Arabidopsis thaliana: one gene and its partner. The protein of the gene in region 1 purifies or fractionates together with the protein of each later gene. This does not show direct contact. Each region holds a gene or a part of one and is shown on either strand. Other genes may lie near its edges.

The links. The genes of interacting proteins can lie anywhere in the genome.
Region 2: the proteins of RRP45a (region 1) and RRP41 purify together in Arabidopsis thaliana (affinity purification with mass spectrometry; 2 studies listed by BioGRID, with this or other methods). This does not show direct contact.

Annotation. Positions count from the first base shown.
Region 1 is NC_003074.8:4,154,289-4,158,484, reverse strand, and holds RRP45a (ribonuclease PH45A), read right to left. Parts: upstream 2,432-4,196; 5' UTR 2,279-2,431; exon of another isoform or gene 2,155-2,278; 5' UTR 2,141-2,154; coding exon 2,004-2,140; intron 1,878-2,003; coding exon 1,668-1,877; intron 1,594-1,667; coding exon 1,498-1,593; intron 1,417-1,497; coding exon 1,302-1,416; intron 1,192-1,301; coding exon 1,111-1,191; coding exon of another isoform or gene 1,084-1,110; exon of another isoform or gene 1,021-1,083; coding exon 832-1,020; coding exon of another isoform or gene 796-831; exon of another isoform or gene 739-795; coding exon 643-738; 3' UTR 521-642; downstream 1-520. Other genes in the region: AT3G13000 (ubiquinone biosynthesis protein (Protein of unknown function, DUF547)), read left to right, coding at 1-271; HAC5 (histone acetyltransferase of the CBP family 5), read right to left, coding at 3,990-4,107. UniProt on the Arabidopsis thaliana protein: Probable 3'->5' exoribonuclease involved in the regulation of cuticular wax biosynthesis. Can perform exosomal functions and partially complement the yeast rrp45 null mutant.
Region 2 is NC_003074.8:22,800,685-22,805,698, reverse strand, and holds RRP41 (3'-5'-exoribonuclease family protein), read left to right. Parts: upstream 1-1,594; 5' UTR 1,595-1,864; intron 1,865-2,506; exon of another isoform or gene 2,507-2,618; 5' UTR 2,619-2,677; intron 2,678-2,777; 5' UTR 2,778-2,788; coding exon 2,789-2,842; intron 2,843-2,931; coding exon 2,932-2,978; intron 2,979-3,070; coding exon 3,071-3,131; intron 3,132-3,223; coding exon 3,224-3,265; intron 3,266-3,344; coding exon 3,345-3,409; intron 3,410-3,496; coding exon 3,497-3,575; intron 3,576-3,669; coding exon 3,670-3,706; intron 3,707-3,795; coding exon 3,796-3,998; intron 3,999-4,082; coding exon 4,083-4,172; intron 4,173-4,269; coding exon 4,270-4,317; 3' UTR 4,318-4,478; downstream 4,479-5,014. Other genes in the region: CRF6 (cytokinin response factor 6), read right to left, coding at 1-425; AT3G61610 (Galactose mutarotase-like superfamily protein), read right to left, coding at 4,670-4,878, 4,959-5,014. UniProt on the Arabidopsis thaliana protein: Non-catalytic component of the RNA exosome complex which has 3'->5' exoribonuclease activity and participates in a multitude of cellular RNA processing, maturation and degradation events.

The DNA of each region.
Region 1 (4,196 bases):
AAGGGACTTCATACAAGCATCGGTAGGGCTGAGCAGCAAAGGGAAGCTCTTACTACCCAAAATGCTCCATTGTTATGCCAAGAGTTTGGTGGAGGATTCGAACTTGGGGGTCTGGATATCAAGGTACCTTCCTCCACATCAAGCTGCTTTTGTGGAGCAATGCATCTCTCAGAGAAGACAAAGCCTTCTCGCTTCACGGAACTGCGGAATACTCCCCTTCGATTCTCGTTTCAGATACCTGTTTCTCCCCGACGACAACACCTCGTTGTAATAACAGTTCAAAGACTCTCTTCTGTTGTAAAAAAAGCTTTAACCGACCTCATAAGAACGAACAGTGAGAGGAGGCTGTTTCATGATCATGGTTACTACTATTATTCCAACATAGCTTTTGGCTTATAGTGTACATGTTATTCAGGATATGCATATTAATTCTGAGAAGTCTCAATATGTTGTGTTTCAACTTTCTTTCAGAAAGACATAAATGGAAGAGTTGAGACTAGTCATCTATTTAAGTGCGAGAAGTCTCAACATGTCTTGATCATATCGACGTTTTTATAGCTTAGTGTTGCTGATAAGATTTCTACAACTAAAATCTTTATTTACAATCGACGACCACAGCAAATGTTTTATTTATGTCTCTTCCTACACAACTACAATAGGTCCCAAAACTTCAGACTTAGCCAAAGTATGATGCCGCTTCACCTTCTGTGAGCTCCTCTCACGGTTGTATGCTTCAACCTACACCATGAAAACAAAGCACAACAAAATCAAATCCTTAAATCAATAGAAATCAATCTAAAAAGGAAAACGCTCCGGATTACGAAACCCTACTGCATCTCTAATTATCTTTGTTGTTGCAGAAGCTCTTGAAGAAGCAAGACGCAGGCAATGAAGGATTACACTCTGGTTCACGCCTTCTTCTCCTGGTTTTTGGATTGCGCATATATCGCCATTGGCATTGACTGTCACAGTCATTCTCCCACACATAACAGCTTCTTCAACGTAAGTTGGGTCCATCACCTGCATAAGAACACAACACACTTGTAATCTCAGATGCAAACAAAAACGTAGTAAACAAGATTATCAATAAACAAAACACAATTTTTTTACCAAGATACTGCCTTTATTAAAAAATCCAAACGTGAAGGCTATTGGGAGATGATGTATTATCAAAGGAAGTGGTTCCCTTTCCTGTAAAAGAAACCAAATATAGTACAAAACAGTTGAAGTTGAGAACTTCCTTCTCTCTAGTTATTAAGTTCATCAACTAAACTGAAAAAAAAAAAATATGAATTACTAACTTCGGGTGGATGTATGATCACGTCTTGACTGTTGTCCCCTCCTACAGTGCAATCAGGTCTCCTGAAAGTCATGAGTGCGGCTAAGGCAGCAACATTAGCAGCATCAACCAAGTTCCTGTAAGAGAGTGAGTAACAATATACACATAAAAGATCATTCTCACAACAAGAACCTTGGATAAACATGAAGAAGACCTACCCTCCATTGTCCAAAATGTGAAGATCAATGCGAACAGACCAAACCAGCTTTCCGGCTAGAACACAAAGCGACTCTGTATCTACTGCACGGCTTTCTCTGCAACCAACAACACAAAGACCATCAATACAAAAAACTTTGTTTGTAGCATCAAATCAAAAAGAGAGGTTTACCGTAGAGCACGGTCTATAATACGGCCAAGCTCAACAGCAGATTCACCAGGATGCCCTGGCTCAAACGATGGATCAGCCATTGGAGAAAACTCGGTGAAGATAGAGAAGGAGCCTTCACTAGGTCTGTCTTTGTAAGGTTGTACTAGCTGAGCAGTCACAAAAGCCATTACATGAGTCTGACCCAGTTGAACTTGTGAGCTGCCATATTCCCTATCGAAAACTCACACAGATTAAATTAATCATCAGTAACAACATTGCAAAACCAGAGATCAAAAGCATCAACAAAAATTGAAGCTTTAAAGGTAAACATAATCAATGAATAGGAGAAAAACTCACTTGCCAAACTTAATAGTAAGCTTGCGGTAATCATAAAGGCCACGACCATCGACTCTGAGCTCAGATTGCAACGCAGATTCAACGAATTTGCTCTCATTCACAGTCAACCTCCACATATTATTCAACCTCCCCTCCATTGTTTGCTAGTGAGCTACTACCACAAATTGATGATTGAGAAACAAAACAAGATACAAAAAATCAAAACTTTCAGAATATAAAAAAGCCTAGAGAATCAACATAAGCAGCTTTCCCCAGAGGGAGATTAAACCACTAACCTTCTTCCGTTCAGCTAGGGTTTTGTGGCGCGAGGATTTTGTGAACAGAGAAGAGGAGGGATTTATTTCAATTTAACCCCTCGTCTTTTCAGTATTTGTCTTATGGACCAATTTTCATTTATCTCTTTTTTTTTCCTTTTAATAATATTTGTTTGATGGAGGGACCGTGTCTAGTCCTTCTCTTATCAAACGACTGACCAGCTCTTATCATTGGCCCCGTTACCCTAACGGTCACAAGGGTTTTCGTCTGTTTGATACACCCAGTCTTGTCTATCTTGACTATTCTGGTTATCCCGCAGAAGATTATGAGGTTGATTTGGGTTCCCTTGTAGAAGCTACACTCATGGGAGCGTCTTCCAGATGACTATTAATTATTATGTGGATGGTGATACAGAGGATATTGTTGGTTATGTTACGAATCTGGTTGCAGGGATAAGCAATGTTAAAACCCTTCACTTGTCCGCTGTTTCTCTTGAGGTCAGTCTCTGCTACGTCTTCTTCTTCTATTGGTTGATTCTATTTGAAGTGCATGCTAGCTAGCAAAGTCTCATTTTGTGTATATGTTTGTTTTGGTTGTGACAATAGATCCCAGGTATTTTACTCGTGCTGTAAATCAATCCCGGTGTTTCCCAACCTCGTTACTTTATCTTTTGAGTGTAACAAAGAAAGAGGCTGGTAAGTGGAGCCACTTCTCCTTAACTACTCTCCAAATCTAGAAACTTAAGTCATCAAGGTATCATCTATTTCGTTCGATCACCACGCACTTCTGTTTCTTTGCTAAAGTTATTATTCCCATGAATTTGCTTATGCCTTGTTCTTTTTGCTTTCACGGTCTTGTGCATGAAGTTACAGACAAACGTGGTGACGCCTGCGTTTGCACCCCTAAGAGGGATAAGAGGAAGAGCTGAAACGAATGAGGCATTTCTTGGCAAATTTAAAACGTCTTGAAACTGTCAATGTTAATGTCGAATTGAGTGAAGGCAAGGATGTTAAGAAAAGGTTCCTGACGATCACCAATGCTCTTATGAAGCTTCCCAGAGTTTCATCAAACTGTCTGATCCATTTCACCATGGAATGTCTAGTAGGTGAATTCTACTACTTTAGTTTGGCAGTGTATTTTTTGTTAATTTCATTGGCTTTCGCCGTACTAAGATCATTTCTATATACATTATAATGGGTTCGTTGCCTAATGACTCCAAAATGCTTCGGGGTCTTGGTTTCGTTCAACTGGATAAACTCTAGTATTCTAGTTGAATATAAAGTAAAAACTTGCATTTCCAGTCTAGTATATGTAATGATTGAAAATCAAGAATTTATTAGCTTATAGCTTTGCCAAAAATACCACATATACAATACGAAGGAATCAAAGAGTAAGTAAATTAAGATCAAATTCAGTAGTCGAATTCAATAGGATTCAATGAACAGAATCACCAAAAATTGAATCAAAATCACAATTCCCTTATACACATGTCTATACTTTAGAATACATGTAAGAAAAAATATCTATGTACCTCGTTGTGAACCTAAATTAGCAGTTGTGGAAGAGACCCATCTGCTCATTTTCCCATGAGCTCTCCTAAACTAGCTTCTTGAATCTCCAAATTAATCAGCCAAAAATATCTCATTCTTTCTTGATTCGCCTGCCATTTGGATCGTTACTTCAGGCACGAACCCTTGACCCCATAGACAGAGAATATAACATGTCTGTTAATCATTCAGGAGTGGAGGCCGTTGTATCAGCGGCTCTCTGCCGCACCATCTCCATCACCGCTGCTCTGCGTCTTGAATCTGCCTGTTGCTGCTTTCTACTAAAATGAGCTCTCAACTCTCTGCAAAAAATAAACTTGTCAGATCATTATTAAACACATCACCTTCTTGAACAAATCTATTCTGATAATTGAAAATTTGCTTTATAAGT
Region 2 (5,014 bases), about 19 Mb from region 1:
ATAGCAGCTTCCTCCGCCGTGACAAAAGTCCCAAGCCAAATCCGAGTACGGCTCGACGGATCTCTAATCTCCGCCGCGAATTTTCCCCAAGGTCTCTGTCTCACGCCTCTGTACTTTTTAGGCTTCACCGACGTCGACACGTCATCTTCAACCACTACGCTTTCCTCCTCCTTGTGCTTACCTTTCCTCGCCGCGGTGGAGGAAGAAGATTCACCTTGGCAGAATCTAATCTCCTTCACGTATCGTTTCACTCTTGGAACCACCGTGACGTTGTTGTTGTCGTCGTCGTCGCTAGACGAGTCAGTAGCGAAAGGATCAGTAACAGTGATACGGACCAGTCTCGGAGACCCGTTAGATGGTGTAGCTGCTACGTTTGTGACCGTACGATTCTCTGTGAACTTCACTCGTCTCGTTCGTCTCTCCATAGAGAGAGAGAGAGAGAGGGAGTTAAAAAATGAAGAGAGGTTTTTTTCACTGTTTTGAATTTGCAGAGAGAGAGAGAAGAAGAGTCAAAAGGTTAAAGAAGAATCGCCGTTTCTCAGGAACATCCTTCTTAAATACTATTAACTCATCACTATTTTTGGAGATTTTTGTTTAGTAACGTGATTTTTTCTATGTAATTAATTTAATTAGATTTTAACTGTTACAGAGAAATTGATGCGTGTTCAACACTATTCATATGATATGAGACACTGACCCAATCAAAACTCATTCAACCTTATAACTAAACGTATCTTAAAATATAGTTGGTGAAATGACATACGTTTATCAAAGCTTAACCTATTGAAATTTAATCCGGTTAATGGAGTTTATAAACCGGGAATTAGATTTGGATTTAATGTAAAGAGGGACGATGCTTAAGGGCGGTTTCGTGGCGGCCAATGGGGGATCCAGAAACGGCTTTCCGCATCTCAGATTGAGACGTTAGATTTATGACACGTGGTAGTTACCGTACCGAAAGTAGAGCCAATTGTCCTAATCTATAGCTTGGTCTCCAAGCAACTTTTAACTCTTTTACGCGCGGTCTGTTTTACGTTTGCTACACGCGCCGGCTAGTGGGCTCCACGCGTGTGAGATTGGTCACGAGTATGTGTCAATTCGCATTGACCCAATATGGAAATTGTGAAGTTTAATGGTAATGAATCTAACGATGTGTTTGAAAGAGTAATAAAATCTCGTCTTTAATATTAAAATATATTTTTAATTTCGGAAAAAATTTATGATCTTTTGCTTGGAGACCAAGTCTCTTATCAGAAACTTTATTAGAAAAAGCTACTATTAAAAAGGTAACTAGAAATTAGATTTCCATAGTTAATGGTTGAGCTTTGACTAGATTTGGTCCTAAAATAATAATTGAAAAATAAGCTTTTATTATATCGATAATTCTACAAGTTAATATACCAAATCTTGTAACTTACAGTAATTCTATATTGTTTTATTTTGAACCTTATATAACTTACACGAATTCACCTGTGATTTTATAAAAAGATACATGTGATTTCAAGACTTTTTTTTTACGTGGGATTAGTCAGGTACTCGTGTTAAAAGTTAGACCTTAAAAATAACAGTCAGTTTGATTTAATAATAGTTAGTAGTATGTATATGGAACATTAAGTCGGAGAGGGGTTAAACTCTAGTGTATCGGGTTGCTTGGCATGGAACAGATATCGCGGAACCGGTAAGTCGGAGTGGTTAGCTTTCTGGGAGAGTTGTGGTGGGTTGGTGCGACGGCGGAGATAGGTGCAGATGGAAACCGGAATCTTCCAGCTGCGTTTCTCGATCCGTCGTCTGCGGCCGCAAAGCTGTGATGCTTGAGTCCGCCAGATATAAGGCTCCGACCACTCTGCTTCCGACCAGCAGCAAGGTTCGAACCTCTTTGTTTGTCGGTGACTTTTTCTGTTTAACCTATTTTGTAACTGGATTTCATCTGTGTATTGGGTCTTAGCCCATGCCCTATTGGGTTGTTTTTAATATATTAAAAAAAAAAAAATTGTATATGGAACATTAAATTGCATGACATTCGTTAGGATAGTCGTAGTAGGTACTACTTTTACTAGGTAGAGACTAGAGAGTGGTCTCTCTTAAATTGTCTAATATGGTTTTGTATACTTTTTGATCCAAACATACATACATAAAAAAAGAAGATGTTAGCAAACCTTAGTAAATAATTCCATCATCTCCTCCGTCAGGAACCCGTCATTTTCATATACCTCACTTTGCATTCATTTGTCGGCATTGCCACACGTAACTCCCGACACGTTGATACTACTATCAATATACTATTGACTTAGAAATTGATCTAGATACTATATTACTATTACTAATACATACTTGAAATAACAGAGTCAACAAGAAAAGCCTTGATAAAAGAAAACAACAACAATTTGAGCTATACTTTTGAAGGGATCTCACTCTTAATTCTCTTATTGCATGCATGTTCCCGCAATTTTGAGCTTTACTTTTCTTTGCAAGCGAATTACCAATTTGCCTGGCTTCATAAACTAGAAGTTATAAAAAAAAATCCTCCTGTGATTTGACGGTTTTACCCTTAAAATCTCACTTAATTCACAAAAAGGAACCAAAAAGCCCTAATCTTTATGTTGTCGACACTCTTTCAGTTCTCTCGACGCCGTCCATCGCCCTCCGTCATATCGCCGCCGCTAAAGTACTGGCAGAGGTAAATTCGTCTCTTGTTCCCTGTTCTGTGGGATCAGAAAGTATTAAACTTGTTCTGTTTCTGTCTTTCATTGCTCTCATCCTTGATTATCTCTACCTAGAGTTCACAACAATGGAGTACGTAAACCCTGAAGGTCTTCGATTAGATGGTCGCCGATTCAACGAGGTATGTTTGCATCTCTATTCACTGTCTTTGTAAGCCACTGCCTTCACAAGTTAATCGGTCTATTCGTGATTGCTTGTAATGAATCTCAGATGAGGCAAATCGTAGCTGAAGTTGGAGTTGTTTCTAAGGCTGACGGGTAAAACTCAAAATCTGTCTCTTATCTTTTTCCGTATCTCAGTTCTATATTCGGCACTTTTATATGAACAAAAATTCCAACTTTGTTTCCAGTTCTGCTGTCTTCGAGATGGGTAATACCAAAGTAATTGCAGCTGTTTATGGTCCAAGAGAGGTACTTGATTACTCTGTTACTCACCTATCAAGATTGATACTTTAATTGTATAATTCAGCGAATTGGTTATTTCTGTTAATGTGCTCCTTCAGATTCAAAACAAGAGCCAGCAAAAGAAGAACGACCATGCAGTGGTATGTATATGCTTTGATCTTGTTTAGTATTGTTCTTGGTGAATATGGAATGCTTATTGCTAATTGTATGTTTTGGTAGGTGTTGTGTGAGTATAGTATGGCTCAGTTTAGTACTGGTGATCGTAGAAGACAGAAATTCGACAGGTTACATTTTACTATATAGCTGAGAGACTCTTTGCTTTTTCTTACGAAAATCATAAAGTTTGAATTGTTGTGTATTATGATGGTCAGGCGATCAACAGAGCTATCTCTTGTCATCCGTCAGACAATGGAAGCTTGCATATTAACCGAATTGATGCCTCACTCTCAGGTTTACTTTTTACTCTCCGGCGATATTGAAATCTAAATTTTCTTTCTTCCTCCTCCTTTTGCTTGCTTCCTGATGAATTGTTTCCTTTATGCAGATCGATATTTTCCTTCAGGTTCTACAAGCTGATGGAGGTAAAATTAAACTAAACCTCTGTTCTGAAGTTGACCTTTTGATCTCTTTCAATCTCTGATCAGCCATTAGTGTTATGTTCTGTAATCAGGAACAAGATCAGCTTGTATCAATGCCGCGACTCTAGCTCTAGCAGATGCTGGAATTCCAATGCGTGATCTCGCTGTTTCCTGTAGTGCTGGATATTTAAACAGTACTCCTCTTCTTGATCTGAACTATGTTGAAGACAGTGCTGGAGGAGCTGATGTAACCGTCGGTATTCTACCTAAATTAGACAAAGTGTCACTCCTTCAGGTTTTTCTTCAACTCTTCATATCAGATTTCTATACATTCGCATTCAGATGATTCTAGACGCTTACGTTTGGGTTTAATGTGTAGATGGATGCCAAGTTACCGATGGAAACATTTGAGACAGTGTTTGCATTGGCTTCTGAAGGTTGCAAGGCAATTGCAGAGAGAATACGCGAGGTAACAATGGACTTCTGAATCTTTCTAAGTTTTCCCTTTCCACCATTGAAAAGCGTTCTTTGTTTTCTAAGTCTTTGGCTCTTCTGTCTTTGTGAAGGTACTTCAAGAAAACACCAAACAGCTAGAGTATCGCCGAGCTGCATAAACTTTAGAGTTAGAGAAAAAAACGTAAAGCTCCAAGATTTTTGTTAATTAGATTTTGCTGTTGTTTGTGGAAGTTGAGGATAAAAAGCTAGTAGTGCAAACTCTTTTTGGGAAAAATGAATCAATTTGGTAAAAAGATCAAACTGAATCGATTGAACACAACTTGTCCTCACATTCTTACATTAAGCCGAGGAAAAAAAAGACCAGAGGCTTTTTCTGTCACTACATCACAAGACTGGTCTGAGAAATCACCAGGTCATAAGCTCTAATGTGATAAAACAAGAATCAACAAAAAGAAAGAGATAAAAGAAACGGTGGCTCTGCTCTTCCAATGTTGCATACAGAAACTAGAGTCAGAATCCCTTGCTCTGTAGTTCGAGTTGATCGAAGCAGAAACTGGATTTAACAGCGGTCAATATTAGCCGGCCGGTCCATTCTTCTCCTGGCTTCAAAGTGATCGGTCTCTCCACTGCTGCACCATCCACACAAAGCATGCTTTTGTACTCTTCATCACCAAAATCCGCCATTGTTTTCGATTTCTTCTCCCATGGATTCCACACCACTGTACCATCCATCACGATTAATGAATCATATCATATACAACAAACAAGTAATCGAAACGAGTTGTTGTGCGATTATTACCGGTGTCTGGAAGTCCTTCCTTTCCGATAACATATGTTCTTTTCCGTTCATGATCA